3 linked regions of the Notamacropus eugenii genome follow. The protein of the gene in region 1 interacts with the protein of each later gene in a pairwise test. Links are inferred from orthologs where the notes say so. Each region holds a gene or a part of one and is shown in the gene's direction. Other genes may lie near its edges.

Region 1 (10,818 bases):
CCCAGAGGGGTGTCTAATTCAGGGAATCCCCTCTGGGAGCTGGAAACGTGCTAAAGATGCCTTAATGGAGCCTTGAGAGGTAAATAATAGTCCAATTATGTTGCAAATATATTTTTCCTGGGTGATACCCAGCATGTGCATGAGACATCATGAGTTTGTTTCTGCAGTGACCCCAAACTGTCATGATCATGCACACAATTTTTGGTGTTCATGCTGCAGCTACAGCAAAATCTGATGGCATCTGATGAGTCCTTGCAGTTTCTCAACCTGTCATCAAATTGTTCTCAAGTCACCACCAGGATTCAAATTCTAATGCAAATGGACTCCCAAGGGATGGTGGAAAGCAAGCGTGCTCACAGACTCATCAGCACTCTGCTGGCTGCCCCAGTGCTGCTCCCTCATTCCCTTCTGTCACCCTGTAATCAGACCTCATCAGCTGTATAATCACAGTCTCAGGTTGGCCCTCTTGCAGCACCCCGGAAGGCATCTGATGAAACCGTCATGGACCATCAAAACACTTTCTGTGGCCTCTCACGGAAGTCCAGAGGCTGACGTTAAGTTTAAACTTATCTTCTTCTCTAGTGGATATTCAATTGGACCAGGCAGCAACACTGGACAGTGTTCCTGTACTTTCTATGAGAGTGTAACTGGTACGCCAGTTGTGGAAAAAGAGACAGTCTCTGCCTGAAGAGAGCTTTCACTTCCCAAGATTAGTTTACACACAAACACTGCTAAAAAAAACAAAAAAATATGCAACTGTGCTCTGAGGACAGTTACCAGTTAATGCGACACTTGGGATAAGGCAGGAGATAAATAAATGCTTTATATTCTAATGAGCTATTAATTGTCAATGATTGATTAGGCAGCTAGAAATAAAAAAATGAATTTCCATCTTTCAGCAGAAAACTTATAAAATTCTCCTGCCATTTTCCACCTCTTATTTGTGTGAACAAAAGACATTATTCTTGTTTTAAATCAAAACACAGAAATTGATGCAGAACCAGATTTAAGGCTGTTTATTGGCATTCAACCAAATACTACAAAATTTTATTCAAATAAAGTCCAGCATAAAAATTAACTTTATAGGTGATTGTTATATTCTACTAAACATTTTCCAAGTTACAACTTATTTCAGTAAAAATGATTTTCTTATTTAACAAAATTTGTAAAATAAACTTAATAGGAAGTCTTGCAGATAAGAAGCATGTGAGGTCTTACTGGATTATATCTTTGCAGAATGTCCTACATAAGGCATTCGTAATTATTTTGCAGTTTTATATTTAGAATTTTTAATCAATCCTAATACATCTTGCCATCTGATTTCATTCAGTGGCCTGAAGCACTTCTTGTACACATCTAGTTTATAGCTCTGATTAATTAAATGATTCAGTAGTGGTATCTAAAGATTGTTCACACTTAGTTTAAATATTTGCTCCCAGAACTCAATCAAGGAGATATTCTCCACCACAGAGTTATCTGGTGTAGAACATCTTGTTAGCTGCTGTATTCCAGGGGGTGGGGGCATGAGACACCCTCCTACACTCTTCCATTTGCTATCCTCGGCAAATCTATTGGAATGCATTTGGTAAAGTTCCTAGTCTCAGATTCTGGCTGGCTCTGGTGACCTGGGGAAGTTGAGCATCATCTTTTCTCAGTTCCTTCCCCAGTGATTTTCCTAAAATGCAGGTCTAACCCAGGCCAGTCCTACACTGCTATAGACTGCAGTACCTCTTGCCTCCAGGATCAAATACAAATCCTTCCAACTTGGTCCCTGGTTCTTGGACCTTATTGTCCACAGACCTCTATGATCTGACCTAAGTGGCCTCCTTGCTGGTCCACTCTAATTCCCATCTGTGCACTGACTGTTTCCCGATGCCTCTTCCGGGTCTTCCTGGCTTTCTTCAAGATTCAGATGGAGCACTGTCTCTGCAGGAGGCCTTTCCTGGGCACCATTCCTCTCCCCCTACCCCAGTCTCTAAGGCCTCCCCCTCCCAAATGACTTTTCTACTTGGTGCTTATCTTGGTCTATACCTCTACTATATGTACCATGCAGTACCTGTTGTTTGGCTCCATGTTAGAAAAGTTTAAGCAACTGCTTTTAAGGTTTGTGAAGGATTTACAGATGTGAATTCCCTTCATCATTCAGTCACCCAGCATTGAAGTGCTTTCTGAGTGTTAGGGTGGGGTGTACCTTAGACCCAGAAAGACAAGGGAGGTGGGAGACAGAACTAGGTGGGAGATAGAACTAGGTGGGAGACAGTGGGCTGGACCCTGGAAGACCAGAAAGTTGGGGTAGCACTTGGGCAAAGCAATTAACTTATTTTGCAGTCAATAAAACGGGCTCTAAGGTCCCCAGGTTTCTCCCCTCTCTAGCTTTGCGTTTGTTTTCAGATGAAAAGTTCCAATTGCTCTGAGCCCTCAGGAAAATCCCTCCTACCTGGAAGAGGCTGGGTTCCTTTCTCTTGCAAACTTAATCCAGTTTATTGTAAACACTTAGGTAACAAAACTTTCCTTCCCGTGGGAGTGTTTGAGGACCGCCAGGCATGGAAGAAGGGGGAGCTGGAAAAAGGCTGGCCTGTTTTTCTCAGGACTTCCTAGGCCTCCTCTCTTCGCACCGACCTCGGAAATCCAGACCTTCTGAATTTCCTCCCTGGTGTCCTGTCTTGTCCCCCTCCTCCTCAGAGATTTTCTCTTTCTTACTTAGACAAATTGCTTATGGAATAACCCAGTCTCTCCCAGTTTGGAATGGTTCTAAGGAAGTTAATGCTCACTCCTCCATTCTCTCACCTAGTTAAGGCAACAATTGGGCAACCCCAATGAAGCACCTGCTAAGTGCCAAGTCCGTGCTAAGTGCTGGGGATACAAAGAAAGACCAAAGTCAGCCCCTGCCCTGGAGGGGCTCCTGGCTGAATGGGTGAGAAAACTTGAAACCAATCCCATACCAATGAGCCCTAGACAGGATAAATAGGAATTAATTAACTAAGGGGCTGGGGAAGGTTTCCAGTAGGATGCCTGAGAGACAGCCAGAGAGAATGGCAAGAGCCAAGAGAGGGAGGGTCTGTTCTTGGAACAGCTGTAAATGTCAGAGTCCAAAAGGGTGGCCAGAGACCAGGGAAGGGGGGTGAAGCGGCTAGGTCTGGAGCCAGGAAGACTCCTTCCTGAGCCCACATCTGGCCTCAGATACTTCCTAGCTGGGGGACCCTGGGTAAGTCACCTCACTCTATTTACCTCAGTATCCTCATCTGTAACATGAACTGGAGAAGAATATGGCAAACCATCTAATATCTCGACATGAAAAACCTGACACAACTGAACAACAAGACTGTGAAAAGCTTTAAATACCAAGCTGAAGAATTTATATTTGATCTTAGATGTAACAATAAAATCAACCAGCATTTATGAAGTTTTTACTAAAGATCTGGTCCTGGGAGTACAAGTACAAAAGAAATGAATGCTAGATATTAGAAAATGGGGAGATTTTAAGTACATATGAAAAGATATAGGGCAGGGTCTAGGTCCTCAAGTTCAGCCCTCTTGCTGATCCAAACTTCACAGAACAAATCCCCTTGATAAAAGGATTTGTTCTGTAAACAAGTCTTTTGGCCGCCTCAAGGACCTAGAAAGCCACATGTGTCCTCGAGGCTGCAAGTCCCCCACCCCTGAATAGGGCATAAATATAATGTGAATAAATACAAATATATGCGACATCCTGTGGAAGGAAGGGGTCAGGAAATGTTTAGAGAGGAAGATGGGGTTCAAGCTTGGTTTTCAAGACAGAGAAGGGACTCTTTAAGGAGGAGCGAATTTCAGGCATAAGGGATAGCCAAGGCAAAGACATGGAGGTGGGAGATGGATTTGTTGGATGGATTGACTCAGGGGAAATGACTTCAGGGTGATATGGGTCTGAATTAAGCTAGTAGGTTCCAGGGTAGAAAAAAAGGTGTCAGTGGTTGTGAAAGTGGAAATGGCAAGCTCTGGCAACTGGTTGGATCTGTGCAGCGAGGGAGAGCGAGCCTTTCCCGAGGTTAGGAAGTCTCGAACCGAAATAGGGACATGTGGGAGGGGAGGCTGAGTCTGAGAGGTCTTTGGGACATTCAGTTTGAGACGTCTCACGTGAGACAAGCTCAGGGAAGGGCCTGGGCCAGGTCCATGGGGACTGCTGAGATCACCAAGTGAGAGGCTGTAAAGGGAAAAGCCAGCCCGGCCCAGGGCCAAGTCTTGGAGGAACCCCCAAGGTCAGATCCCACAACGCGGGTGGGGAGATTCAGAAGAATAAGCCGGAGAAGGGCATGGTCCACAGCATCAAAGGCCAAAGACAGGCTTGGCACAAATAGGGCACGGGGGACTCTGGAGAGGGCCGGGGTTCAGCTGGAGGACAGGGGCAGAGAGGTTGAGAAAGGGAGAACAGTGGGGGGGTGGTCCGGTCTAGGGCAGGGGCCTCCCGCCCCGCGCCTCGAGGCTGCAGGTTCCCCCTCACCTCCAGAGCAAGGTTTTTTTGGGGAAGGGGAGGAGTGAGCACGTCTGCAGGCAGAAGGAAGGGGGCTGATGGAGGCGCTAGCCCGGGGGGAGTGAGAGGGGGCAGCCTTGGCAAGGAGAAGGGCCAGAAGGGTGGTGAGATAATTAGGGGCCAGGTCCCCAGCTATGAGCGGGAGGAGCCAGCATGGGGGGTGGAAGGAGCGGAATCCCGCCACGGCCAGGGAGGGTCTCCACCCCAGGACAAGGGGCTGCGTGGGTCCAAATGGGTCCGGTAGGTATAGAGGGGAGGGTGGCGCTGAGGCGGGGATCGTGGGGCGGGGCAATGACGTCATCGCGCCCTTCCCCGCCCCCAGCAAAACCAGAGGGGATGGCCAGGGACGGGGTGGGGGGAGCAGCACTGTGGCGGAAGAGGAAATCAAGTTCCTGGGCTGCCCAGACCTTTGTCCGGGAGGTCGTGGTCTTGGGCTAGGCGGCCTGGCCACCTCTGTGCCTCAGTTTCCCTGTCTAGACAGGGATGGACACTTAGGTCCCTTCCGTTCAGGTCAGCGGGGGGGGGCGAGGGGGGGCGGGACCTGAGATCACGTGGCAAAGCACTTAGCCAAGGTCCGGGAGCATCTCTAAGCCAGAGAGGGGCGGGTCACCTCTGCAACCAGAGTCGGCCCAGCTACCGAGGCCATGGGGCTCCGTGCGCATGCGCCCCCCCGCCCCAGCCCCGGCCTGGCGCCGACTCCGAGGCCGTGACCTCTTCTCCAATCAGGGGGAAACTGCTCCCCAGGGTGAGGGGGGCGGGGCGAGAGGCGAGAACTCGGTGCAGCCAATCCCGACCCACCTCTGCGCTTGATGGACTGTACTCAGTTCAGCCAATGAGAGGGCCGCTGCTCCTTGACGTCATAGAGTTCGCCTCCACCCCCACCCCCAGGTAGCCTAGAACTCAGTTCGCGCAGTAACAAATGTAGAGCGCACCGCGCCCCCTCCCATCCCCGCCGCCATTTCCTCTCTCTTCCTAACGGCTCGGGCCAATCCCGGCTCACCCAGCGCCCGGCCGCAGTTCCGCCAATCCGAGCGCTCCCATCCCAGCCCTGGACCTAACGTCCACCAATCGGCGGCGGAAGGCCGGTCCGCTGGCCCGCCCCCTGGTCCCCGGCGCCCCCCTCCTCCCTCTTTGTGCGTCTCGCGCCGCCCGCCCGCCGTCGTCGCCGCCGCGCCCGCCGCGTGAGAGGAAGGAGCTCGCGCTCGCTCCGCGGTGCGGTGCGGTCCGGTCCGCTCGGAGGAGGCTCGCCGCCCGCGCCGCGGCCCCGCGAAGGTTCGCGAAGCCCAAGTCGCCGCCCCGGAGCCGCCCTCGCCGCCCCAGCCGCTGCCGGCGCCGGTCCCCGGGGGCGCCATGGCGACCGGAGCGAACGCCACGCCGCTGGGTAAGCTGCACCCGCCGGCCGCGGCCCCGCCCGGCCTCCCCCCGGGGCCCGGGCCCAAGCGGGCCTTCGAGCCGCCGCCGCCGCCGGGGCCGGGGGGGAGCGGGCCGGGACCCGGGGCGGGGCTGCCGCTGGGGCCCGTGGGCCCCGGGCTGATGGCGGCGCCGCTGGCCGCGGCCTTCCCCTTCGCGGCGCTGCCGCCCCCGCCCCCGCCGCCGCCCGCCGCCACTCCCGGCCCGGCCTCCGGGCCCCCGCCGCAGCCGCCCCCGCCGCCGGGCCCCGCGTACCCGCAGCCGCAGGCGCAGCCTCCCCCTCCGCCGCCGCCGCCGCCTCCTCCGCCGCAGCCGCCCCAGCCGCCGCCGCTCTTCCAGCACGTGTCTCCGCCGCAGCCGCCGCCGCAGCCGCTCCAGGACCCGCAGCCGGGCCCGGCCGGCGGGGGAGGAGGTGAGTCGGACGCTGAGAGCGAGCGAGAGAGGCCGGCGGCGCGCGGACAGGCCGGCCGCCCGAGGGGCGCGCGACACCACGGCGGCGGCTCGCGGCGGCGGGGGCGGGCGGGGGCGCGCGCGCAGCGGGGGGACGGAGGGAGGGGGCAGGGGGGCCGAGCTGGGGGGCACGCCGCCGCCGCCTGCGCGCGCAGCCCGAGCCAGGGAGCGGAGGGCGCGCACGCGCCGTCCTCTGCAGGCCGGGAGGGGGGGGCAGGGCAGGGGCGGAAGCACTGTGCGCAGGCGCCGTCCGCTTGGCAGGCCGAGCCGGGGCATTTTGGTGCGCCTGCGCGTCTTTGAAAGCCAATCGAAGGGGGAAGGGGGCTGGAGCGGGGGCAGCTTCCACCGCGGGCGCCTCCAGGTGGACGGGTGGAGAGGGAGGGGTCCGGGGCGCCCCCGCCCCGTATGGGGTGAGATAGGTCTGTGAGGAAGGAGGGCTGACGGCCCACAGAGGAGCCTCGGCCATGCTGGGCCGCCTGGGCGGTGAGAGCGGGGTGCGGGGGGGGGGGGGGGGGGCTGAGGGTGGTTCGCCGCCCTTCCTGGGCCTGCCCTTGGCTGTATGGGGGGGCTGAGCCTTGGGCCTGGCTGTGCTCTGATGGGGGGGCATCAGGGTTACCCAAATGCCCCCCCCCCTTTGTTAGAGGAGGCTCTGAGAGGGAAGCCTTGTGAGCCAGTGGTCCTCGTCCAGTCCCTGGTCAAGTCCCGGTCACCACAATGTCTGGGAGTTTGTAGTGACCCAGGGTTAAATTGGGGGTCCCCTGAGGTTTCTCCTGGCTGCTTTTTCATTGTTGGTGGCGGGTGGAGATCCAACTTTTGGGCCACGATTGGGCTCCCTTGGCTCACGGTAGGGTATACGCTTGCGGGCTCATAGATTTTGTTTGGGTCTAACGAACCACGTTTGCCTTCAGATTTCCCAAATAAGAAGCGGAAGAGGAGCCGATGGAACCAGGATACAATGGAACAGAAGACGGTGATTCCGGGAATGCCGACTGTCATCCCCCCTGGACTTACAAGGGAGCAAGAAAGAGCTTATATAGGTAAATACACGTTCTACATGCAAACATATTGAATCACGTTCTAGTTCATCTGAGAAATGTCACTGACTGCTGAACGAAGTGTTACAAATTTACATTTTCAAGATTTGGGCTATTGTCAGGTATGACTGCTTAACGTTTTAACTCACGAGTTTTTGCTTAACCAGTACTGTACTGTTGAGCCCGGTCCCCATCTGTTCATGACAGCCAGGTTCTCCGTGGGTGCCAGGAAGGTGTGTGTATAGGGGGTAGTAGAATCCCTGGGACAGAATATTAGCCCTACCTTCATTTTCCCTCAAAACATTTTCTCTGCTTAGTGAACTTAAAGAGGTGGGAGAAAGGGGGGGAAAATGAGGCCTCTTAGGTGAGGGTTTCCAGTGGACCCCAGTCAGCAGGTACTTGTGGAAGCGAGTGGTCCTTTCTTTACCCAAGAAATATAGCGTCTTCCACAATGGTACCATGGTGTGGCCTGAAAGGGGCAGAAAAACCTGTAACAGCTGAATTTTAACGTCATAAGTGCTTAAGAGAAAATTTGGTGGTGGTTTATCTTTACTTAACATTTGGTTCCAGAAATTTAACCTTCCCTTCAGCATCTGTTCTGGTTTGGTCTCTGGAACTGTTTTAAACTAAGGCATTTGTATTTGCTCACAAAGAACTTTGCTGGGAAAGGAATACTGCTTGGGAATGGAGCTGGCCTTGGGTAGTTGAAAAAGTCTAATATTACATGGGGAGATAGGATATTTCAAGTGTTAAAAGATTTATCTCTGTATTGGGAATAATTCTACCACATTGCAGTTGAAGTTTGAAACTTCAAAGTGACTTGTCTCATGTTTTGATATAAGGTTTTAATGCAAGAATTTTGTGTTTATTTGCCAACTTGTGCAGGTGTCAAAAAAAAAATCAGTTTAAACAATTCATTTTTCATTAAGGAGGCTGTGGCTTTAAATAGATCCAGAAGCCTCTTTAAGGCAGTCAGCAAAGGTGTTTTCTTGGGGCTGTGCCATGAATTTTTTTTTTCTGCCTTTGTGAACCTGAGAGTTTTGGCCTCTTGGGGCCGGCACATGACTCCAGATGCGGGCCTTCTGACTGGAAAACCTGCCCTCTAGTGGAGAGTTGTGCCCTTATTCTTGGACAGCAGCCCAGCTCTATTGACTCCTCCTTACCTTGGGCTCCCTTGGTTGTTAATGGACAAAGCCCCAGAGTTATTTACAGCAGCAATCAGTGTAGAGTCAAAGGGCAATCCAGGGTAGAACTTAGCTAACCCCAAACCACAGAACTTAAGTCACCACCAACCACTGGTGGAGGGAATTGCATTAAAGTCATTAGTGTCTTGGGCTTTATCCAGAAGTCCAAGGGAAACTCTGTCTCTTGTCTCCCATACCCACATTTCAGTAGGTAAAAATGTACAGTAAGTAAAATATAATCATGAAGGTGAATCTCACCTTGGGCTACTTAGCCTGGGCTGTTTGGACTTGGAGATTTTTCTGTGGCAGAGAAGAAACTAGATACTTTGAGTTGGAAGTACATTATTAGTCCCATTCAATTAAAAGCTCTGCAGGCCTTTGCCCTTGGTTGGTTTAAAGGTAAGAAGTAGGTGATTATTTAAACACCTTTGGGGAAAATGGTATTGTGTCCCCAGGCACTACAGGTCTCATTATCTCTGAAATCAAGTAATGTTGCTCAGAGCCACTGGTAGATTATTATCATTATTCCGATTGTGAAACCCTCACCTTCCTTTCTTCTGTACAGCCTCAAATGTCGACAGCCAAGGTGGGGGGTCACATGTTACTCCCTTTTGCCCTTTGTGCCTGTCCCCCTAAAACCTTTGTGGTAAAAAACAAAACCAAAAACAATTCTTGCATCTGTGACTATTGGTTTATTTATGTATATCGCTTGTTATCTAACACTTGAATAGCAGGTATATTGGCAGCTTTACCTAATATGGATGGGCCGGGTAGTATGCAATAGGATGTTTGTGAATTTCTGGATTATCTTAAGGGGATTTGGAAGGACACTCAATATGCCCAGTAGCACAATCCACACTGGAAAGGAAATGATCTTTGCTCAACTGGTATCACTTTCTGTACCTGCATTCATTAATTGGTCCTCAGCACAGACCACGTTACTTGTTTTAATGGAAAAAAAGGAAAAAGACTTTGACCCTGAAGAGAATAATATGGTGGGGTGGGTATTGCTGGCATCCACGATTTATTTCTGTTACCAGTTGGAGCAAGCTTTTGTTACTGGGACAGGTAGAGCAGAAACATCTCAGCTCCCCACGAACTGTTTTGTTGTTAGCTGTAGTCATTAGGCAGCCTTTATTGCTAACACCTCTTCCAACAAACTGTTTGCTTCCCAATTGATAACCTTCTCTGAAGAGAAAAATAGCTAGAGATATAAATGGATTCCTGCCGAAGTATATGATTGGTAGGTGGTTGGGGGTTTTCCTCAGTTTGTTCCCTGGTCAGTCATCCCTTTCAAAGTCTCCAAGTTCTTCATGCTTTGATGTTGAGATTTGAGATGTTTTTTGGTAACATTGTCTTTTTTCCATCCTTTTTTTCTTTCCTAACCTGGTTTCTTCCAGTGCAACTGCAGATAGAAGACCTGACTCGCAAACTTCGCACAGGAGACCTGGGCATCCCCCCTAACCCTGAGGACAGGTTGGGAAACAGTTTTAACCAGCTGACAGTAACGCTTTTACCTTTTTCTCAATACATTTTTGGTGGCAACATAATGTGTCAGTTCAATGAAATCCTGATAAGATGCCTTTGGTACTCTGACTCTTTGGGGAACTAAGATTTAAACACAATTCTCTATTAATATATTTGAGCAGTTAACAGTTAGAAATTTGGAATGAAACTTAATTTTTAGCAAAACCAAAAATCGCAAGAAATGGACAACTGGTTTCCAATTGGTAAGCATGTAGATTTGAACCTGATACTGGTACAGGGCAAGTCAGGTGGCCAGTTAACTGACCTTTCAGAGCCTGCTTTGGCCATGAGCCCATGTAGCATCTTCCTCACAGGTACACACGGTGCAGGATTAAGAACACATTTTTTTGTGCATCATTGAGGTTGAAGCAGCCCAGAAACTCAGTCTGGGTAGCTGATAACGACAGTTTTCTGCTCATGGTTTGGAGATGGTTTTAAAGTCAGATGAGATTTCTAACCAACTTCCTTCACTGCCAGCTAATAATATTGCAGCTTTGGCCAATGCCTGGGGGTGTTGGGAGGAGGGCTTAGGGTCTCTCATCTGTTTGGGGTGAAATGCAGCCCTAAGATGTTTTTTTTGAAGGGGGTAATGGGGCCCTCCAAAACCAGCTCTGGTCATGTTGGTCTTTCAGGTCACAGTCTCGGACCGTTGCTCTGAGGGGGACTTCACTTTTTTAACCAGTTGTTTTATTGGTTTGTTGATCTT
Region 2 (10,341 bases), on another chromosome or scaffold:
TCTTCTAAGATGTACCCAGGAAAATATTAATCAACCATAATACACTTAGAAATAAAGACAGACCTAAATAACTGGAAAAATATTAATTGATCATTGATAAGTTGAGACAATAAAAATGACAATACTATCTAAATCAATTTTTTTATTCAGTGCCTTATGAAACTACCAAAGGAAAATTTCATATTGTGTTAGAGAATTTCTCAACCCAGAAGTACTAAGTTCTACCTTGGTTCTTATTGACTTGTTGTCTGATGATCAATAAGTCTGGGGTAGCTAGGTGGTAAAGAGGACAGAGGGCCAGATCTGGAATTAAGTTCAAACTTCAAACTCAAGACTTAAGCTCAAATCCAGCCTCAGACACTGAATAGTTGCGTGATCCTTCACAAATCACTTAACCCTGTTTGCCTCAGTTTCCTCATCTGTAAGATGAGATGGAGAAAGAAATAGCAAGACTACTCCAGTATCTTTTCCAAGAAAACCCCAGATGGGGTCACAAAGAGTAGGACATGACTAAAATGACTGAACAACAACAACAACAATAAGTCTGAAGGCTAGGCCAGAAGATAAAAAGTTTAATTAGCATCAGCTAATGGGAAGTTGCTGGGTGACAATGTGCTGAACAAAAGGAGATATATACATATATAAGGTTCTACACAACCTTGGGGTGACAGGAAAGGCAGCAAAAGGAACCCTATATCAGGTGAGACTTCTCAGTCACTTTCCTTATTTGGGAGGGTGAGTAATAAGGAAGAGAGGTCAGGTGATTTTGAGGAGAATGTGTTAACCTTGGGGTCTCAGGAGTTGCCAAAGATCAGGATTGTTTCAGTGGGGATTTTTTGTCTCTGCAGTTAATTCATCAGAATATCCTGGTGGGGAAAGAGATCTCTAAGGTAATGGAGACCTCCTCCAAGATAGAAATCATGAAGGCTCCTGCTATCCTTGCCAGCCTGAAGGTCTCTATATACATAAATTTATACCCCTGTTTTTTTGTTTTCTTTTTTACTTCTAAGGTTATATTTTCTGGAGGAGAAGATGCTTTCCTCAAACTCACAATCTGCCTTCTCTATAAGAGCAATATTGCTTTTGTTCATGACAGTCCTTTGAAGTAAATAATTGTGATGTCATTTGGCAAATGTTGGGCCATTCTGTGTCCCATCCTGGATACATGCCTTGGGAATTCAGCAGAACGCTTTACTTTTATCAGATCAACAGCTAACTGTGTGTACAATGGTACATCAGGGAGTCATCAGCAGTGATTACTCATTTCTTCTTCCTCTGATCTCTACTGGATGACATCTCATCTGACATTACCTGTATATTCCCATTATCAGTTCTTAGGGAACAAACAGTACCTGCCTCCACAGAGGGCTGAGGGTTTTTTTGTTGTTGTTCTAGTTGAGTAGTGAACCTTATTTCTGTTCTTGAGTCCTGCCTGTGGGCCTTACCCCCACCAGATTTTTTTTTTTAATTTTATATAATTTATTTATTTTCAGTTCTCAACATTCACTTCCATAAGAATTTGAATTCAAAATTTTCTCCCCATCTCTTCCCATCCCCACTCCAGGACAGCATGTACCCCATGTACCCCTTCCTCCAGTCTGTCCTCCCTTCTATTACCCACCCTTCTTCTATCCCCCTTCCCCTCTATTTTCCTGTAAGGCAAAATAGGTTTCTATACCCTATTGCCTGTATATCTTACTTTCCAATTGCATGCTAAAACAATTTTTAATATTCATTCTTAAAGCTTTGAGTTCCATATTCTCTCCCTTCCTCCCTCCCACTCATCCTCATTGACAAAACAAGCAATTCAATATATGTCATACATGTGTAACAATGCAAAGCACTTCCATAATGTTGTAAAAGACTAACCACATTTCCCTCTATCCTATCCTGCCCTCCATTTATTCCATTCTCTCCCTTGACCTATCCTTTCACTATAGTGTTTGCTTCTGATTATCCCTTTCTCCAAGTTGCTATCCCTTCTATTATTTTCCCTCTCATCCCCTTCCCTCTTGCCTTCCTGAAGGGTAAAATAGATTTCTATATCCAACTGAGTGTGTGTTATTCCCTCGTTAAGCCAAATATCATGAGAGTAAGGCTCACTTATTTTCTTTCATCTCCCACTTCTTCCCCTCCATTGTAAAGGCTCTTTCTTCCCACTTTTATGTGAGATGATTTGCTACATTCTACCTCTCCCTTTCTCTTACTCCTAGTACATTCCACTCAAGAGTAAATTTTATTTTTTTAGGAATTCTCCCTTCATATTCAGCTCAGCCTATGCCCTCTGTCCATTTGTGTGTGTATATATATGTATATATGTGTGTGCATATATGTATACATATATACACACAAACACACATACACATATATGTATATATGCATATATACACACGCACACATACACCCGTGTGTGTGTATATATATATACTTGCACATGTGTGTATACATACCCATACCCATACATACATATATTCCCATACACATCTACATATATATCTATATACATACATACATATACATACATATATATTCCCTCCAATGACTCTAAAACTGAAAAAGGTCTCATGAGTTACAAATAACATCTTTCCATGTAGGAAAGTAAAAACTTCAGCTTTATTGAGTTCCTTAAGGCTTCTCTTTCCTTTTTACCTTTTCATGTTTCTCTTGATTCTTGTATTTGAAAATCAAATTTTCTATTCTTGTATTTGAAAGTCAAATTTTCTATTCAGCTTTTGTCTTTTCAACAAGAATGCTTGGAAGTCCTCTATTTCGTTGAAATTTCATTTTTTCCCCTGAAGTATTACACTCAGTTTTGCTGGTAGGTGATTCTTGGCTTTACTCCTATCTCCTTTGACCTCTGGAATATCATATTCCAAGCCCTTCGATCCCTTAGTTTAGAAGCTGCTAAATCCTGTGTTATCCTGATTGTATTCCCACAATACTTGAATTGTTTCTTTCTGGTTCCTTGCAATATTTTCTCCTTGACTTGGGAACTCTGGAATTTGGCTACAATATTACTAGGAGTTTTCCTTTGGGATCTCTTTCAAGAGGTGATCAGTGAATTCTTTCCATTTCTATTTTATCCTCTGGTTCTAGACTATCAGGGCAGTTTTCCTTGATAATTTCTTGGAAGATGATGTCAAGGCTCTTTTTTTTATCATAGTTTTCAGGTAGACCAATAATTTTTAAATTATCTCTCCTGTATCTATTTTCCAGGTCAGTTGTTTTTCCAATGAGGTATTTCACATTGTCTTTTATCTTTTCATTCTTTTGGTTTTGTTTTATAGTTTCTTGGTTTCTCATAAAGTCATTAGCTTCCATCTGCTCCATTCTAATTTGTAAAGAACTATTTTCTTCAGTGAGCTTTTGAACCTCCTTTTCCATTTAGCCAGTTCTGCTTTTTAAAGCATTCTTCTCCTCATTGGCTTTTTGGACCTCTTTTTCCATTTGGATTAATCTATTTTTTAAAGGTGTTATTTTCTTCAGCATTTTTTTGGGTCTCCTTTAGATATCACCTAGTTCCACAACCTTCATTTTACAAAGGAAAAAACTGAAGCTGAGAAAGAGAAAAGAGGTTTCCAAAGCCACCTAGCAAGTCAGTGTGATTTTCTAGCATCACTTTCATTTCTCTTCCCAATTTTTCCTCCACCTCACTTACTTGATTTTCAAAATCCTTTTTGAGCTCTTCCATGGCCTGAGACCATTGTATTTTTTGGAGGTTTTGGATGTAGAAGCCTAGAATTTTATATCTTCCTTTGATGGAATGCTTTGCTCTTCCTCATCTGAAAGGATGGAATAAAATACCTTTTCCCCAAGAAAGTAACCTTCTATAGTCTTATTTTTTCCTCCTTTTCTTGGACATTTTCCCAGTCAGTTACTTGACTTTTGAGTCCTTTGTCAAGTGGAGGGTATACTACCCTAGGCTTCAGAAGTTTTGTGCAGCTGTTCTCTGAGATATCTCTAGGAACCTGTAAGTTCTCAGTTCCTCTAAGGCCCCACCAGAGTTTTTAAAAATGAAAACCAAAGCCCATAGGAAATGGGTTCATACTCATTCATTGGTTTCCTTCAATTCTAGCAGACAATATATAGATTCCTGATACCAGTCTGATTCCCTTCCTTGATCTATAGACTGAAACCCAATTTTGACTCCAACCTAAATAGTAGCCCCAATCCTATATTAAGCTTTGATCTCAGCCTTGAACCCTGACCTCATCAACAAACTGAACTCTAACTTCAGAGGAAGACTTTATACCAAAGATAGACTGAGCTGTGACCTCCAACTGAATCCTGACCCTAGTCCTAGACTTTGCTCTGAAAACCAGACCCACTTTGAATTGAGAATCCAGACTAAATCCAGACACAAGACTAAAATTTTCAATATGGTTCCCTGAGTCCTGACCCCAGCCTTAGATCAAATCATCTTTTTTAAAATCAAGTCTAGACTGACATCTGACTCTATGTGCCTTTCTCTTATCCATGCCCTTCACTTCAAGTTTTCTCTCTCTCCTCAATTTTTTTAGAGCATTCGTCCTAGATCTCTCCTTTTCCTATATCACATTGTAGGTTTCTAACCTGTGAACTCACTGGATTCCCTGCTACCACTCCCCTCACACCATCCCTTCCCAACCAGAATGAAAACTCCTTAGAAGGCATAAACTATTGTTTTTCATTTTTATGTCCCCAGGACCAAAGATAGTGTCCTCTTGCCCTTAGTAGGCATTTAACAAATATTTAGGTAATCCAAATTTAATGACTATCCCTGGTTCTATGTTCTCCACTGTCTTCCAAAACTCATGGTGGCTCCCTAGTTGGGGACTTGACTTTTGTTGGAAGAGAAGTTGGGTGAACAGGGCAGGGTGGCACTTTCTGGAGTCCTGAGTTCAAGTGCCAGCCACATAGACTTGCTAAGTGGCTTTGGAAACCTCTTTTCTCTTTCTCAGCTTCAGTTTTTTCCTTTGTAAAATGAAGGTTATGGAAGGAGGTGATAGCTAACACACACACACACACACATCACGCACAGCTGAGAGGATCAAGGGGCAGGAAGCCAAACTGGTTATTACTAAATCCTTCATTTAATATCTGTTCATTGACAGAACCTCAGAAGAAACTTTGACTCAGATATGTTATGTTGTCACATGTCTATGTTCATGGCCCAAGTTAATAGATAGAATCTGAGCCTCAGGTCTTTTAAAGTCGAGTGCTTTCCACTATAGTGCACCATACTACCTCCTTTAAATACTGCAAAGATTTTCATTCCATATTTATAGATGTGAATAGCTCTGGGACAGGGACTGCCAAGGCAGCATGGTGCCATGGGGAGAGAGCTAGATCTGGAGTCAGGAGACATTGGGCCAAGTCAGGTCAAATCCACAAGCACTTAATAAGCATCTATTATATTCAGGGATCTGTTCTAAGCACTGGGGTTATAAAGAAGGGCAAAAAATAAAACACCAAATCCCACCCCCACCCAAACTAACTAGTCTTTCAAGGGGATAAAATGGGGGGAGGATGGGAGACAACATGCAAACAACTGTAAACAAACAAGATATATTCATAGAGGATAAATTGGAAATAAATCCTAGTTCTGACACCTAAGATATAGAAGGGACCATAAGCTTCAATGTGACCAGCCTTCTCATTTTACTTACCAGCTGTGTGATCCTGAGCAAGTCATTTGACCTCCTTTTGCTTCAGTTTCTTCTTCTTCAAAATAAGGATAATGTTGCTTGGGTTGTTGTAAGGAAAAATTGTTTGTAAACTCCTGAGCACCATAGAAATGCTAGCTATTATTATGCGTGCTATATTTTAGGAATGATATTGACACTGAGAATCTGGAGCCTGTTTCAGTCAAATTACCAAGGATGGTGGACCATGTCACAGGGTGATCAGATAGGAATGTTTAACCTAGAAAAGAGAGGCTAAGGGAGGAGGTGATTTGTGTCTTCACATATTCAGAGAACTGTCCCATAAAAGAATGATGTGACTTGTTTTGCATAACCACAAGAGGCAGAGATAAAAGAAATGAAATCCCAGAGAACCAGAACTCCCCAACAATAAGTGTTCTTTCAAGATGGAATGGATTTGCTCTAGAAGGACTAAACTTCCTGTTATTGGAGGTGTTCAAGGGGAACCTGGGTGACCACTTGTTACCAACACTGCCGAGAGAATTCAGAGCATCATGTAGGGGTTGCCTGGTATCCCTTCCAGTTCTGAGATTCTAGGATTCTGTAATTCTTCTCATTCTATAATTGTGCAGCAGGGACAATTCTCTCCCTTCCCAGTCTATGGAGAGGGACTGGTACCTCACCCTCCATTCTAGCAATTTTGAGAAACAGCCCAAGGTAATTTGAATAATACTTCTGTCTAGTGACCCTGGGGGAAGTAGGGAGGGTGGAGAGATAATGAGGGAGAAATGAAGGTTTCACTCCCAATCTCTGAACTCAGTAGAAAATGTTGATTTAAGTTGGAGACAACTGTTGCTGTCCTTCATATTGGAAGGGGAACAAAATAACATTATGGGGGGGAGGAGAAGGGGGGTCGTCAATGTACATTGTGTCTAACTGTGACTGATCAGACCAATATGAGCTCAGAAGGTTCTATCACAAGTTGGGCACAAGTAGTCCATATGAACATTTGGGATAAGAGATGTATCTAAATCTGCACATCTCATGTTTCTTTTGAGCTACTGAAATCCTGCTTTTGCTCATAGAACACAGCATCTTTTTTTTTAATGTGGTACCAAATTCAGGGAGAGAGAAGAGGTGAATGGTAATGAGTCACTACAGTGAGTTAAAGACAGATTTGCTAGTTTAGGTGAAAGAAGAAAAGGTTCCTATAATCTCTGAAAGACTTCTCAGAATTGAAACCATGGACTATGATGACAAAGTATAAAAGAAAATCTATTAAAGGGGACTGGCATATATTCAGATTCCCTTTGATGATACTCTTTCTTTTTTTAATTGTATTTTATTTTTTCCAATTACATGTAAAGAAAATTTTAAACATTCACTTTTGTAAGATTTTGAGTTTCAAACCTTTTTCTTTCTTCCTCCCTTCTTCCTTTCTCTCCTCCCCAAGATGGCATGCAATCTGAAATAGGTTATACATGTACAATCATATTAAACATATTTTCATGTTAGTCATGTGAAAGAAAGAACAAAAGGGAAAACCAAGAGAAAGACAAAGCAACAAGAACAAAAAAGGTGAAAATAGTCTGATTTGGTCTGCCTTCAGACTCCACAGCCCTTTCTCTAAATTTGGTTAGTATTTCCCATGGTAATACTCTTTCAATCAATCAATTAGCTTTATTAAGCACCTACTATGTGCCAGACACTGTGATAAGAGCTGCCCCTAGAGAGCTTACAATCTAATGGAAGAGGTTGGGGATAGTTTTGATGATGTATAATGAAATTGCTTTAAAGAGACTTTGGAGTAAATGTAGACATTCTGTAATTGGTTCTGCTTTGCTAACCATGTTGTTAGGAGAAGACTTTTCAATTAGCTACATGACCAGAATTGGGGATATCTCAAAGGACATCTGAACAGAGTCTCAGACATTTTCCTGGGCCCTTCTCACCTAGTTCTCCTGGTTTGACTTCTTTGCTAATCGCATCTGGTGAGACACAATGCTGTAAGGAGACAGACCTTGGTCCTTCTCCACTGAGATCAGTATGTGACCACATGAATGGGCCTTGTGTCTTCCTTTTCCATTTTAGTTGAAAGGACTGGAGACTCTGACCTGGTGAGGTTCAAAAGGTCAAAAGAGCAGTAGAGAAGATACCTCTGACCTCTCAGGGTACTCTTAGAATCCTGAGAAAGGAAGTATAACAACCTGACTCTGGGATAGTAAACCAGAGCACACTTGCTACAAAGGCTTCAGAAAAATGAAGGTGAGTACTTCTAACCAAGATGGATGCTTGAATGAAGATGGGCAGCTCAGCTTCCATATACCTACTCTAGCAAAATACTAAAAATTAACATGAACTAATGATGAAATAATGATCAAGAAATTCAATGAGAAACTACTTCATTCATCTCAGAATGGCACAAGTCTGTCAGAAGTCTACCCAACAGGAAAGGTGGCATACCAGAAAGTCAGCACCAATGCAGGCAAACATCTCCTAATGTGACCAGAAATATCTGTAGCCCAAAAGGCTATGTATCAAGAGGCAGGGGGAGCAGGGGGCTTCCATGAAAAAGTTCTGAGGTTGGATCCATAGCTTGGATCTTAGGAGCCAGAAGTATCAGTGAATAGTATGGGCATGGCAGATCTCAGGTAACATCCTTGGCCCAAAGGCTTTGAAATCCCTAGCACTCTGTCCTAAGATACCATAAAGAACCCTAAAAATTCAGTATTCTGAATCTCAAAAATCCAAGGAGGTCTAAAACCTACCAATGCTCTTAATGTAGACATACCCTGGGAGGTTAAGATCGGCACAGAAACCCAGGTCAATACCAAACAGGGCTGACCGCTCTATCCAAAAGGACATCAAAAGACAAAGACTCATCTTGGCACAGCAACTAATGATGCAAATATGAGTAAACAGAAGACATCAGGCACTATAAAGAATTATTATAAGGGGCTCAGCACCTTCCAGCTCCAGTGGTGGTTAGTTTTGCTGTATTTTGTGCAACTGTCTCCCTCCATTCTATATGATGTAGAAGCATTCTCCAGCAAGGCTATCCTAAAGGTGCTGAAGAATGGAATACCTGATCCTATGGCTTTTGGTTTCTGGAATCATCTTTAGTAGGGATCTAGGCAATGTAATTGCCTTAAAGCCAGATGCTGCCTGCTCACACAGCTTAGAGAAAGAGGGCTTTGTTGCCTCCCTGGCTCCAGTGCCTGTGGTCCCTGCCTTTTGTTCAATATGATCTCAATTGCTATATTCTCAAAGGAAAATTACTTAGAACCCTGTTGTCCCTGGGGCAGGAACCCAAAAGCCTGTCTCCTTGGGGTATGTATATGCCTATGCATCTAGCCTCTTGCTCATCTAGGACTGTGGAGATATGATCTCTGGATCATCCATATCCACGCAATGACATTCTTGTTCCCATGATGATTGTGATTGGTACAATGGCTGGGCTTTCCTCACTAGTTATGGATATAGTCTGCTGGTGTGGTTTATAAAAGGAAATCTGAGAAGGCAAGAAAAACTGAACCCATTAAAATATGTATAGTCATGCAAAACAAATTCCTTTATTAGTCATATCTCCCTTACCCCCTGCCCCCACTAAAAAAAGGAGGAAGGAAAAAAGGAAGGAAGAAAAGAAAATTTGCTTTAAGATACCCTCTGAATCCATCAGCTCTCTATGTGGAGGTGAATAGCATGCTTCATCATGAACTGGAATTTTGGATGCTCGCTGTGTTGATTATCTATTGTTGTTATTGTATCAATAGTACTCCTGGTTCTGCTTACTTCACTTTGCATCAGTTCATTCAAGTCTTGCCATGTTTTTCTTGAAACAATCCCCTTTATCATTTCCTATAGCACAATAGTATTCACCATAACTTGTTCAAATATTCCTAAATTGATAAGCAAGCCCTCAGTTTCTATTTCTTTGCTACCACAGAAAAAGCTGCTATAAATATTTTTATACATGTGATACTTTTCCTTTTTTTTTTTTTTTAGATTTTATTGGAGTATACGTTTAGTAGCAGTGTTGATGGATCGAAGGGTATACACAGTTTAATACTTTTGGGGTATAATTCCAAATTACTTTCCAGTATGGTTGGACTACTTCACAGTTCCACCAACAATCCACTTAAGTACCTGTCTGTTTTTCCCACATCCCTTCCTGCATTTATAATTTTCTTTTTTTTCTCAACTTTGTCAATCTAATGGGTGTGACATGGCATTTTAGAATTGTTTTAATTAGCATTCTTTAATTATTTGTAATTTAGAACACTTTTTCCATATGGTTGTTGATAGCTTGGATTTCTTCTCTGAAAATTGTCTTTTCATATCCTTTGACCGTATGCCAATCAAGGATCATGGCAGCATATTAAAAAAAAATGAATAGAACAGAAAGAAGGTCGGAATCATAGACAAATAAGACAACTTTGATAGTTAATATGTTGAATTTATTATTATATTACATTATAAAGAAAAGCAAGCTATAGATAAGAGATCCACAGTTTCATATATAATCCTCTTGTTATATTATGAATTTGAAAATGCACATTTTATTTAATGTTTGTTAAAGTCAGAATTAAAATAATAATCAAACAACAACAAAAACCAGAAGGTACCTGCACTGGTAAATGAGTTTTTTCATTCAGAAATTCCCTATAACACTGAAATCTCTATTCCTTATCCCTTGTTATAAGCTTACTAATCATCA
Region 3 (10,949 bases), on another chromosome or scaffold:
CCGCCAAAGGAGAGGGAGTCAGAAAGCAAGCAAAAGAGAGAAATAAAGAAAAAAGACTGAAACTTCTGGAGTTCTTAGGAGCAAGAGATTTCAGGCAATGACAGCAAAAAAAGTCAATAGGAAAGACACTAATAACAGAAGGCAGAGGGTCTCTAGAGCAGGGAAGAGAATTCAGGCCTCTGTCAATAATTTTGCAAGGGATGAGGCTGAGGACCCTGTGGATTCCCAAGAGAACACGAAATCACAGCAGGATGTTCCTATGTGGCTTAAAAGAAAAGTCAGAGTTGTGAGAGCAGATTGATGGCCTGCAAGGAAGAAATAATTGGCAGAACAGAAAAACTTGAATTCACAGTGCCAAGCCTCACCAAAAAACCAAACCAAAACAAAAGAGATACTGTTTGGGAGTGCAGACACATGGAAGTAAAGGGTAATCTGCAATGAGAGAAGCATTACGAGAAAGAATGATCGCCATGCAAGCAAAATACTGATCTTCAAGAAAGGAGGCATAGAGACAACCTAAGAATTAAAGTTCTCAAGGAGAACACGAGTCAAAAAACCTGAACGCCACAATATAAGAAATAGTATAAGAAGCTGCCTAGAACTTCTGAACACAGAAGACAGAATGTCAGTCGGAAGAATCCACAGACTGCCTTGAAGGAAAAGAACTCTAGGTTGTAAATTGCAATTTAAATTTAACAATTCCACTAACAAACAAGAAATGATGCAAGAAACCAGAAGAAAGACTTTTAAATATGAAGAAAAGAAAATTTGAACAAGACCATTCTGCAACCACCAGAAACTATAAGAGGGAATGGAATAACGAATTCTGAAGTGCTAAAGAGCTCAAGTGAAGCCTGAGTGTGACCTCCCTGTAGTGGGAGAGGGTACAGCTGATGAATACTCCTATAGGAGAAAGGAGATGTTATATGACAGGAGATGGGGACCTTATGCCTCAGGAGAAGGGGAATCAGGACTCTTGGGAGCAAATGGCACCCAGAGGAGTGGGAGGACACAGAGCCCAGGAAGAGACCACAAGGCAAATGCAGGGAAATGGTCAAAGGGAGGGAAAAGGCCAATAATAAACTGCACAATCAAGGACATAGGGCTGAATATTCCTTCCTCAGGGAAATATGTTCTCTATCACCTGCTGGTAATAGTATTTCCAAGAATAAAGTACAAAAAAAAAAAAGGAGTCCATGGGGCAATAGCAGAAATACTTTATAAGTGGGAACCCAAAATAGGTACTTCCAAAGTTCTAATTCCATGAGGAATATAGGGAATAAAGGACTAAATAAATACAAGGACAAAGAATAAAACTCTAGAATATACAGGAAATGAAGATAAATAATGACAAAAGGGAAAACCATCCTAGAAAGAATTTTTTTCTAAAAAGAATAAAGGTACAAAAAAATGAAATTTAAAAAACTAATGAACAAAGTAAATTAAAGGGGAAAGGAGGAAGAGGAATTTTCGTTAGCTACTTAACTAAGAGGAAAAACAAAAGAGGAGAAAAAATTTAAAACAAGAAAGAAAAAGGAACAAAGAAACAAAACTCCAAAATTAGGGAAAGGGGTAATAAACAGAAAGAGGAGGACAAATTTATGGGGAAGGGGAAGAGAGCAGGTAGAAAGAGGGCGACTTTAAAATAAATTAAGCTAAAATTAAGTAATATAGTACTGCTTTTGGAGGGGGGAACAATTTTAGAGACAAATGGAAAAAATTAACTTCAAATGTGGATGGATTAAACAATCCAAAAAATCCAAGGAAAAGAATAACAGGTCGTATAGAAAAGAAAATTTCACATTCTGTGGCTTACAAGAAACACATTTGAAAACCAAAGACATACCCAGGCATCACATCAGGGAGCACAAATAAAATACACAGACCTAAGGATGAAATTCTAAATGAGTGGGTCAAAGGACAAATCATAGGAACAATTAGTGATTATGCAAAATAAAGTGATAATGAGGCAACAACAAAACTTCTAGAATACAATTAAAGCAGTCCTTCACGGGAAAATCTTCTTCTTGCAAACATGTCTTAATAAAATAGAAAAAAAGAAGATTGGGGAACTGAATATACATTTTAAAAAATTAGATTGTCCACAAACCAACAACCCTAAAATAAACACAAAAGAAGAAATGACACAAATAAGAGGACAAATAGATAAACCAAAATAACTATAAAAACGATAAATAAAAATGAAAAGTTAGTTCTTTGAAAATACTCGTAAAACTGATAAGCCTTTAGTCAATCTGACTAAAAAGGGGGTAGAAAATCAAATCCAGAAAATTGTAAACTAGCACTGTGAAATCACAGCGAAACCAGAAGAAATAAAAAGAGTGATCAGAACCTGTTATACACAATCATACGCTAACAAAAGTGGAAATACAATAGCCATGGGGAAAAACTTCAAAAATGTAAAATAAACATCGGAGAAAAGATAAAATTGAGATCTTAAATAGCTCAAAACAGATATACCTGTAAAGGAACTACCAAAGAAAAAATACTCTTGGTCCTGATTGTGTGCATTTATCCTTCACTGCCGAAGAAGACTGTGCCATCAGAGAAATGATGACGTGACTTGCACTTGACTTTGTTTTTTTGAGTGAGGGAGGGCTGTGCAGATCACCAGCCTCACTTCTCCTCCAGAGTCATCTGAATCCAGTGACCAGATATTCATCAGGATGACTGGAGATGCCCCAGAATGAGGCAATTGGGGTTAAGTGACTTGCCCAAGGTCACACAGCTAGTGAGTGTCAAGTGTCTGAGGTGAGATTTGAACTCAGGTCCTCCTGACTCCTGCACTGGTGCTCTATCCACTGCACCACCTAGCTGGACAAATTTAGCCTTAATACCTAAACCAGAGAAGGATAAAGCACAGAAGAAGAGCGATAACCAATATAAATAAATGGGGGAGTCTATGAGACATAATGGAATATTACTGTGCTACAAGAAATAACGTATGTGAGCATATGAAGAGACATGGAATGATCCACATGAATTAATGCAGAGTGAGGTCAGCTGAGCCAAGAAAACAGTATACACATTTACTGTAATGCAAATGAAAATGACAACCAAACACCAAAAAAATCAGAAGTGAATTTTGCAAAATACAAGAAACAAACTTGGCTCCAAAGCAAGAAACGAGAGAAGACCCCCTGCCCTGGCAGAGGGGGAAGCTGTCAGCCACTCCTGTTGTCTGGAGGTCACATGCCCAAGGGCTACTCTGGGAGAGCCATCCCTACCTTAGTCAGCGATTGCCGGTAGAGCTCTCCCAGTTTCAGTGTGCTGGTCCAGTACTTGCGCACAGTGAGCCCAATGGACATGCAGGGCCCCACCTCACGGGAGACGGGGATCAGCTCATTGCTGGTGATGTTGTCCGTGTAGCTGGTAAAACTCTGGAGAAGCAAAAGAAGCCTGGGGGACAAAGAGACTCAGACTGAGGGCCCAGAGCCAGACAGGCCAGAGAGGGCTCGAAAGCCTCCACCTGGGGAGGATGCTCCTGGTCACCCAGTTTGTCAGTGGTCTTGGAAACCAAGGCACCCTGGGGAGCTCACAAAGCTCTATAGGCATGTTGGCCAGCACATTGGACAGTACTCTTAAGTACCCTGACATAAAAGAGGACATGTCACTTGGCCCTTTGGCAGGTTTTCTTTTTCTTTCGGAGCAGGGAAGGCAAGTCAGTTGGGGTTAAATGACTTGCCCAAGGTCACACAGCTAGTAAGTGTCAAGTGTCTGAGGCTGGATTTGAACTCAAGGTCCTACTGAGTCCAGGGCTGGTGCTGTATCCACTGTGCCACCTAGATGCCCCTGGTAGGTTTTCTTTTGCCAAATTCAAAGCTCACTGGCTCTCTGAGTGGCCGCCAGACTGTCCAGAGCTTGGACTCTGAGTTTTCTTGCTTTTTAAACTTGTGGGCTTTTTGTGTGTCCTGACTGAGTTAAGCAGCTGAGGCCCCCAAAGGGGCAGTGACTTACCCAGGTCCCACTACTGATAAGCAGCAAAGTCAGGACTGCAGCCGGGAGGCTCATGCCCTACCTTGCACCCAGGCCATCCCAGCACCTTTGGGGCCCATTTCCTCTTTGGAGGAGCAGAGCTGCCAGAGGCTCCAGAGGCATCTACTCAGCCTAGAAGAGCACACACCCCACCTTCCATAACATTCTGAAGGTCTTCCAGCTCCCACGAGGCAGCATGGTAGGACTGTGCATGGTGCTAGATTTGGAGTCTGAAGACCAGAGTCTGAATCATGCCTGGGACACTTACTGACCGTGGACTTAACCTCCCTCAGCCTCAGTTTCCTCATCTGTAAGATGGAACTATAATTGTAAGGATCAAATGAGATAACATTCCTGGAAAAACAGGCTTTTAAAAAGCCTGTGTTTCAATGTAATGGAGTACTATTGTGCCATAAGAAATGATGAACAAAAAGATTTCAAAAAGGCCTGGAAAGACTTATATGATCTGATGCTGAGTGAAAGGAGCAGAACCAGAAGAACTTTGTGCACAGCAACGACCACAGTGTGCGAGAGTTTTTTCTGGTAGACTTGGAATTTCGTAATAATGCAAGAACTTATTAAAAAAAAAAATCCCAATGGTGGTTTTCTAAGGCAAAATGCCTTCCACACTCAGAGAAAGAAATATGGAAGTCATTCGCAGAATGTAGCAGATCATGTTTGTGTGTGTGTGTGTTTTTGTGTATCATGTTTTGATTTGTTATATGATTTCTTCCATTTATTTTAGTTCGACTACATAGCATGACTATAGTGAAAATGTACTCAATAGGAAAGTATATGTAGAACCTATACAGAATTGTATGCTGTCGTGGGGAAGGAGGGAGGTAGTGGGAGGTAGGTGTTGGGGGGATAAAATCTTAATTTTATGGCAGTGATTGTAAAACATTAAAAAATAATAATAAAATAAAATTTAAAAAAGAAAAAAAAAAGCCTGTGTTTCAAATGGAGCTATCTGACTTGTCACTCAGGTTTCACTGAATGGCCAATAAGAGCCCCCAGCCAGCCAGTTCTTGAGTTCTAGAATGAGTGTGCATGGCAATTATTTTCTGTTCTGGCTAGAAACTCTGAGGGTCTTCCCCTTCCAGACTGATGTTTCTGTGATGGTAAATTCAGCCATCTTTTGTCACAGTTCTTATCCAGCCCTTCATCAGATTGGGTGTGCCTCAGACAAACTGAGGCCTGAGAAAGACCTTCATTTAGAAAGGCCAAGGTTACCCCCTGCACCTCAGGCCATCCTGAGCGTCTGGGCCTATGTTGTGCCGCTGGACTTTCCATGACTCAGAAGGGAGTAAGGCTGAACACTTAGCTGGCTCTGCCTCACTGAAATCCAGTTCTCAGAGTTAAGACATCACCCTCAGGATGTCATCAGTCCTGAACTGCAGATCTCTATATAAATGCTGTTGTGGCTCTGAAGGTGGGGGCTCCCCTAGCACTCTAGCTCTGGACAGCTCCCAGCCTTGGAAAGTCAAGCGGATACCTGCTTCCCTGCCCGCAGCCCCTGCCCTCCGGGCACCCGCTCCAACCCCGGGGCACCCTGGCTTGCCCCTCACCTGTCAATCACCAGCTCCAGGAGCACCACATGGGAAAGCTGGGTGAACTCCGGGTTCCCTTCCTCGTGGTCATAGTGCTCCAAGAGGGACACCAAGTCCAGGTCGCACGACACTTTGTCGGGGAATTTCCAGGAGGGGAAGCGCACGGCCCCGGCTCGAGAGAACACGTCCACGATGGCTCCTTGCAGGTCTGTGATGTCCTTCCTCAAGCTGTCCATGCAGCTTTGGTTCCCCAGCAGATGGGCCATCCTGCAGGCCAGAAGATGCCCTGGGCGGAGGCAGGACAAGCGCCACCTCCTGCCTCCCGGCGCCCTGGGCCTCGGTTTCCCAGGTTTTAATTCGGAACCCACACGTCTTCATGTCCCTCCAGCTGAGCTCTTGGGTGGGACCCCGGAGGGGAGGGAGGGGATGCTTTCTGGGCACGTGGGCAGACACCTGTGCTCGGCTCGTTCTAGGGCGCCCTGGCGGGGGGGGTGTCTCAGGCTCCCCCCCATGTGCCCGGCCCCACCGCTCCCGATCTGAAGCCCAGCCCTGAGCCTCGGAAAGGTGACGGAGGGCTAGGAGGTCCGGCCAGTCCCTGACCAGGCCGAGCTGCTCTCCGGTGCTCTTGGTCTTCCCTTCGTACCCACGACCCCAGTCCCTAGCCTGGGGCCCGACACCCGGGGGGGGCGAGGGGACGGGGGGGCGGAGCTTGACATGAGCCCCTGGAAGGTAAGGAGCCTTACCTGGGAATAGGGCTGTGGAAGGGGGGGAGGGAGCAGGGCGGGGCTCCTGCGACAGGAGGGGTGCTCCCCGAGGTGGGAGGGGCCCAGGGATGCGGACAATAATGGCGGGGTTCCTCCAGGAAGGCAGGTGCTCCCTGAGGTAGGAGGATGGGCTCCCCAGGGGAGGTGGGAGGGGCGATCCCAGGGATGGGGGGGAGATGAGGGGCGGGGCCAGAGTGGGGGCAGTGAAAAGGCCGGGCCCAGGCGGGCTGGGCACCCCGGGGCAGGATGGGACCCCGAGACGTCAGTCCGAGCTCACCTGCCCCCAGCAGCGCCGCTGCAGCTCTTGGAACTATTCCCGCAGCTCCCGCCCCCGGAGCCCCGGCCTCGACTTCTCAGGTCCGCAGCCGCTCCCAGCCGAGTAACTGAGGTCTCCCGCCTGGCCGTCTCCATGGCAACGGCGTCTCCACGTCCGGCGTGCGCGGGGGGAAGGGAGAAGCGCCCCCGGAAGGCGAGGGGCGGGACCGGAAGCGCGTCTCCCCGCCTCCATCAAGGCGGTCCGCCGCCATCTTGTGAGCGCCCGGCTCGGCCCTGTCGTAGCGGCCGCTCGCGCCCGGACCGCCGTTGGAGCCGCCGCCCCCAGCGCCGCAGACATGCCGGCCGGACCGGTGCAGGCGGTGCCGCCGCCGCCGCCCGTTGCCACGGAGCCCAAGCAGGTAGGCGGTTGGCGGGCCCCTCTGGGCCTTGTCCGCTGATGGGAGGGAAGGGGAGAGGAACTGGAGGCTTTGGGGCCTCCATGGCAGAGAGGGAGACGGACTACAGCTCCCAGGAGGCTTCGCGCTGGCCGCGCCGCGCGGCCACCTGGGAGCCGGACGAGGGCGCTCTAGGCCCGTGGTCCTGCTGCCATGGAGCCCCAGCGTGGCCTGAGCGCCCCCGCCGGCGGCCGCGTGTGCAGAGCGGCGGGAGCCTGCTCGTCCCCGGGGCGGGCTCGTGGTGAGGAGCCCCCTGAGCGCTGGGCCCATCCCAGACTCTCGGTGACCCCTCCTGGGGTTGTCTTGCCGCAGATCCCGGAGGGATCTCCATTTACAGATGGGGAAACGGAGGCAGGCAGGGTGAAGGACGAGTGTCACTGCCCCCCCCCCTGCCCGCGGGCCCCTCCCCCAAAGGCAGACACGTGGAGAGACGGGGGAGGGGCCGGGAAAGGGAAAGGCAGACACGAACCCCGCGATGGAGCCTCATTAATCCTAACCAATTAATCATGATTAATGATGATCACGTAGCCCTTTCCCACTTGTGACCTCACCGCACGCGTGGGCCGAGAAGTCGGGACGGCTCGTGGATTCGTGCTCGGGAGTGGGCCCAGAGTTTCTTCTCGAGACTGTGAGCTGTTGGGGGGCAGACGCCGCCCCCCTTTGTGCCCAGAGCCTAGCACGCAGGAGGTGCTCAGTGATCCATCCGGCACCTGCCCGGGGGCGTCCAGGATAAAGCGCCTTCCGCCAGCCCGCCTTCCTGAAGTTTTTAAATTGTGAGTTCGTTATCAGTAAGCAGTTGAAGGTCCAGAACAAGGAAGGTTACGCCAGAAGTTGTGCCGTGGTTCCGTGGTCCCGAGAGGCGTGCTGGGCCATCGCACCGCTCCTGATGAGTCCCAGGAGGAGAGGGTGAGGCTGGTGCCGCCCTCGAGTCACCGGCAAGCGCCAGTCATGTCGTCCCCCGGGCGTCACGGCCTTCTGCAGGAAGGAAGGACGGACGGACGGACGCAGTAAGGGATGTGTGCAGAGTTAGCCAGGCAGTGCCAGGAGCGCTGGCTCGGGGCCCCTCACGCTTGGAGTGCGTTGGAGCGTCCAAGTGCTCCAGTGCCTGGAGCGAGCTGTCTGATCGGTGCACGAGCCCAGCGCCCTCCTGTAACACGCTGGGATAGCACGTGCTGCCTCCCGGACCGGTGCCTCTGTGAAGGGGCTCTGCTGTTTCCTAGCCTCCCTTGAAGGTTCCGAGGGGGAGATGGCCTGCCACCTCTTCCCAGAATGCCTTCCGGGGAGGGGGAGAGAGAGAGAGAAAGGGTGTGTGCTCATGCTGAGTACTCCATAGCCACCCGAACACGGGAACAAAACAGCCCCTGTCCTCAAGGAACGGAATTCTGTCAGGGAAAACAATGTTCCCATCCAGCTAGATCTTTGTGTGTATTTTCACATCTGGTTATCACTGCATGAATTGTTCCACTCCCCTGTGAAAGCTCTTTTAGGGCAGAAACTTTGATTTTTCTCTTCATGGCCCCAGTGCTCAGCACCAAATCCCCAGAAAATGTCTGTTGAGTTGAATTTACATTGTTGACCCGTCCTGTCCTGCTCTCTGTGACCCCATGATTATAACACACCGGGCTCTTCTTTCCTACTCTCTCTCAAAGACTAAGGTCATGTGTGTTGCTTCCGTGACACTATCCCTTTCATCTTCTGCCACTCCCTTTTCCTTTTGCTTCAGTCTTTCCCAACATCAGAGTCTTTTCCCACGAGTCCTGGCTTTTCATCATGTGGCCAGACTATTTAAGCTTCAGCCTCAGTATTTGACCTTCCCGTGCGTAGCCTGAATTAATTTCTTTAAGGGACTGATTTGGCCTCCTTGATGTCCAAGGGACTCTCAGAACTCTTCTCCAGCTCCACGATTCAAAGTGTCAGTTCTGTAGTACTCTTGTAGTTCCTCTCACAGCCATATGCTACTACTGGAAAAGCCATAGCTCTGACTATGCCAACGTCATATCTGTGCTTTTACTCTGCTGTCCAGGTTTGTCATATCTTTCCTTCCAGTGAACAAGCATCTTTTAATTTCATGGTTGCAGTAAGTCAAAAAAACCCGACCCAGCCTGTTGGTAAAGCCTGACATGTGCTAATGGATTCCCCACCTCTAATATCCCTCACCCACCCCCACCCCTGCCTGCCTTTCAGCCAGCAGTGGGGGGTTCTGTTTCCCCATCAGTCCTCTGAAGACAAGTTTAGTCATTGCAGGCATCTGAATTCTGCCTCCTAATGTTGTCTTTATATTCTGGTGGTCCTTTGTGTCTTGCCTGCCAAGAGGAGGAGCTGTCTAAGCCGAACTCTATGTCTGCCAGGGCCTGCTTATTTAGCATGGCATCCTCCACAGCCCTGCTCAGCGGGCACCAGATGTTCATTGAATGTTGTAATTGAGTCCCTGGGGGTAAGAATGCTTGGGAACACATCTTGTGAGGCCAGCACTACACCTCAAAACAAAAAAAAACACTGTGTCTCTTGGGGTGAGGGATGAAAGAGAACAAAGCCTTACAGAGGCATCTTCCACTGTTCTGGGGCCCATTCTCCCTCATCTTTGCTGACTGAAATGGCCTCCCCACTTCACTCTGGCTTCCTTGGCAGCTTCTTCTGCCATCCCTCACCTGGCTGCTTTGCACAGACTCTTGTTTTACCTCAACGTGGTATCACCCCAGGGCATGGCCACTACAAATGTTTAATATACTAAGGCCTCCTTGGGGCACTTCCCTGAAGACTCTGGTTTTAAGAGAGCCCTAATGAGCCAGTCTGGGCTCTTTCCTGCCCTCATCCCCTATGGAACTTCCGTGGTGATGAGGATAATGTCCTTCTTGGTTTTTCCTCCCAAAGTAAGGAATGTTGACCTGGAGGCTTTTTGCTCTCTTGTTTGCCTACTCTAGCTGGAAAGATTCTTCCTTGGTCACAAAGAAAGGTCTTCAGCCATGTCCTTCAGCACTCAGCCAGTCCCACCCTCCACCCGTGCAGCCTGACCAGCCTGTCCTTGCTGAGAAGGGCTCCTGTTGCCTCTTCATCTGGGAATTCCTCCTTTTTCCATCCAAGTCAGAAGTCACCCCCTCCCACCCACTAGAGAACACTGACAGGGACATAGAAAAGGGCCTGCTGAGGGTCCTGGAGCAGAGCTAGGGGCTGGTAAAAGCAGTGTAGATGCTTGGTCATCCATCTTGTCCCCTTCCCTTAAGGGGCCAGACCTTTTATTTCAGATACCATCTTAGGAGAGCACTCCTGCCCCAGGAATTGAGCCCTCCCCAGTACAGATTGTTTACTGGGGAAAGATGGGGTGGGGCATTCTACTAGGGCATAGATGGGGGAGAGGGCAGGGGATGGGGAAGAGTGTGTCCAGGACAGAAAGTACAGGAAGCAATGAGAGAAGGGAGGAGGTTTGTTGTCTGTTCCTTCCCCTTTTTGTCCTCTCAGACCAAGGGCCCAAGGATTTTAATAGGGTTCCCTCCTTAACATGTCCCTTAGATATGGGGGTGTAGGGTTTGCTCCAGCTCTTCTCAGGCCCCTTGGGGGGGGGTGGTGAAGGAAGCCAGAGGAGCACATTTCAGCTTTCTGCTGATGTCTGCAGGATGTTTTCTTTTCCCTTTCTTATTAAGAATTTTGTTTTAATGCTGTTGAATCTTAGAATGGAAGATCAAGGTTTTGTTCCCCTTATTTGACCAAAAGAGCTAGAAGATTGATTTTGTCCATCAATAAACATTTAAGTATCCACCGTGTGCCAGGCTCTGTGCTCAGGGCTGGTGGTAGTAGTGAGCCCAGTAGGTCTGCAGTTAACACCTTATGGAGTGGTGTGGGACCCAGAACAAGGGGTGAGTGAGTGTCCTAAGAGCAGTAGGTAAAAGTGAACGGGGGCAGCCAGGTAGGTGGCACAGTGCACAGAGGGCTGG

What was found. The genes of interacting proteins can lie anywhere in the genome.
Region 2: the proteins of SF1 (region 1) and FAM168A interact in binary tests that used the Homo sapiens proteins (3 or more experiments, as listed by UniProt). The two-hybrid records come from large-scale screens. The link is inferred for Notamacropus eugenii from reciprocal best matches to the Homo sapiens genes SF1 and FAM168A.
Region 3: the proteins of SF1 (region 1) and SF3A1 interact in binary tests that used the Homo sapiens proteins (3 or more experiments, as listed by UniProt). The link is inferred for Notamacropus eugenii from reciprocal best matches to the Homo sapiens genes SF1 and SF3A1.

The regions. Positions count from the first base shown.
Region 1 is NC_092873.1:17,539,405-17,550,222, reverse strand, and holds the start of SF1 (splicing factor 1), read left to right. Parts: upstream 1-5,671; 5' UTR 5,672-5,857; coding exon 5,858-5,888; intron 5,889-6,199; exon of another isoform or gene 6,200-6,329; intron 6,330-6,672; exon of another isoform or gene 6,673-6,831; coding exon of another isoform or gene 6,832-6,850; intron 6,851-7,275; coding exon 7,276-7,404; intron 7,405-9,985; coding exon 9,986-10,061; intron 10,062-10,818. UniProt on the Homo sapiens protein: Necessary for the ATP-dependent first step of spliceosome assembly. Binds to the intron branch point sequence (BPS) 5'-UACUAAC-3' of the pre-mRNA. May act as transcription repressor.
Region 2 is NC_092876.1:131,752,666-131,763,006, forward strand, and holds the start of FAM168A (protein FAM168A), read left to right. Parts: upstream 1-6,243; 5' UTR 6,244-6,284; coding exon 6,285-6,341; intron 6,342-10,341.
Region 3 is NC_092875.1:15,041,294-15,052,242, forward strand, and holds the start of SF3A1 (splicing factor 3A subunit 1), read left to right. Parts: upstream 1-6,851; 5' UTR 6,852-6,921; coding exon 6,922-6,984; intron 6,985-10,949. Other genes in the region: CCDC157 (coiled-coil domain-containing protein 157), read right to left, coding at 3,249-3,420, 5,565-5,813, 6,588-6,721. UniProt on the Homo sapiens protein: Component of the 17S U2 SnRNP complex of the spliceosome, a large ribonucleoprotein complex that removes introns from transcribed pre-mRNAs.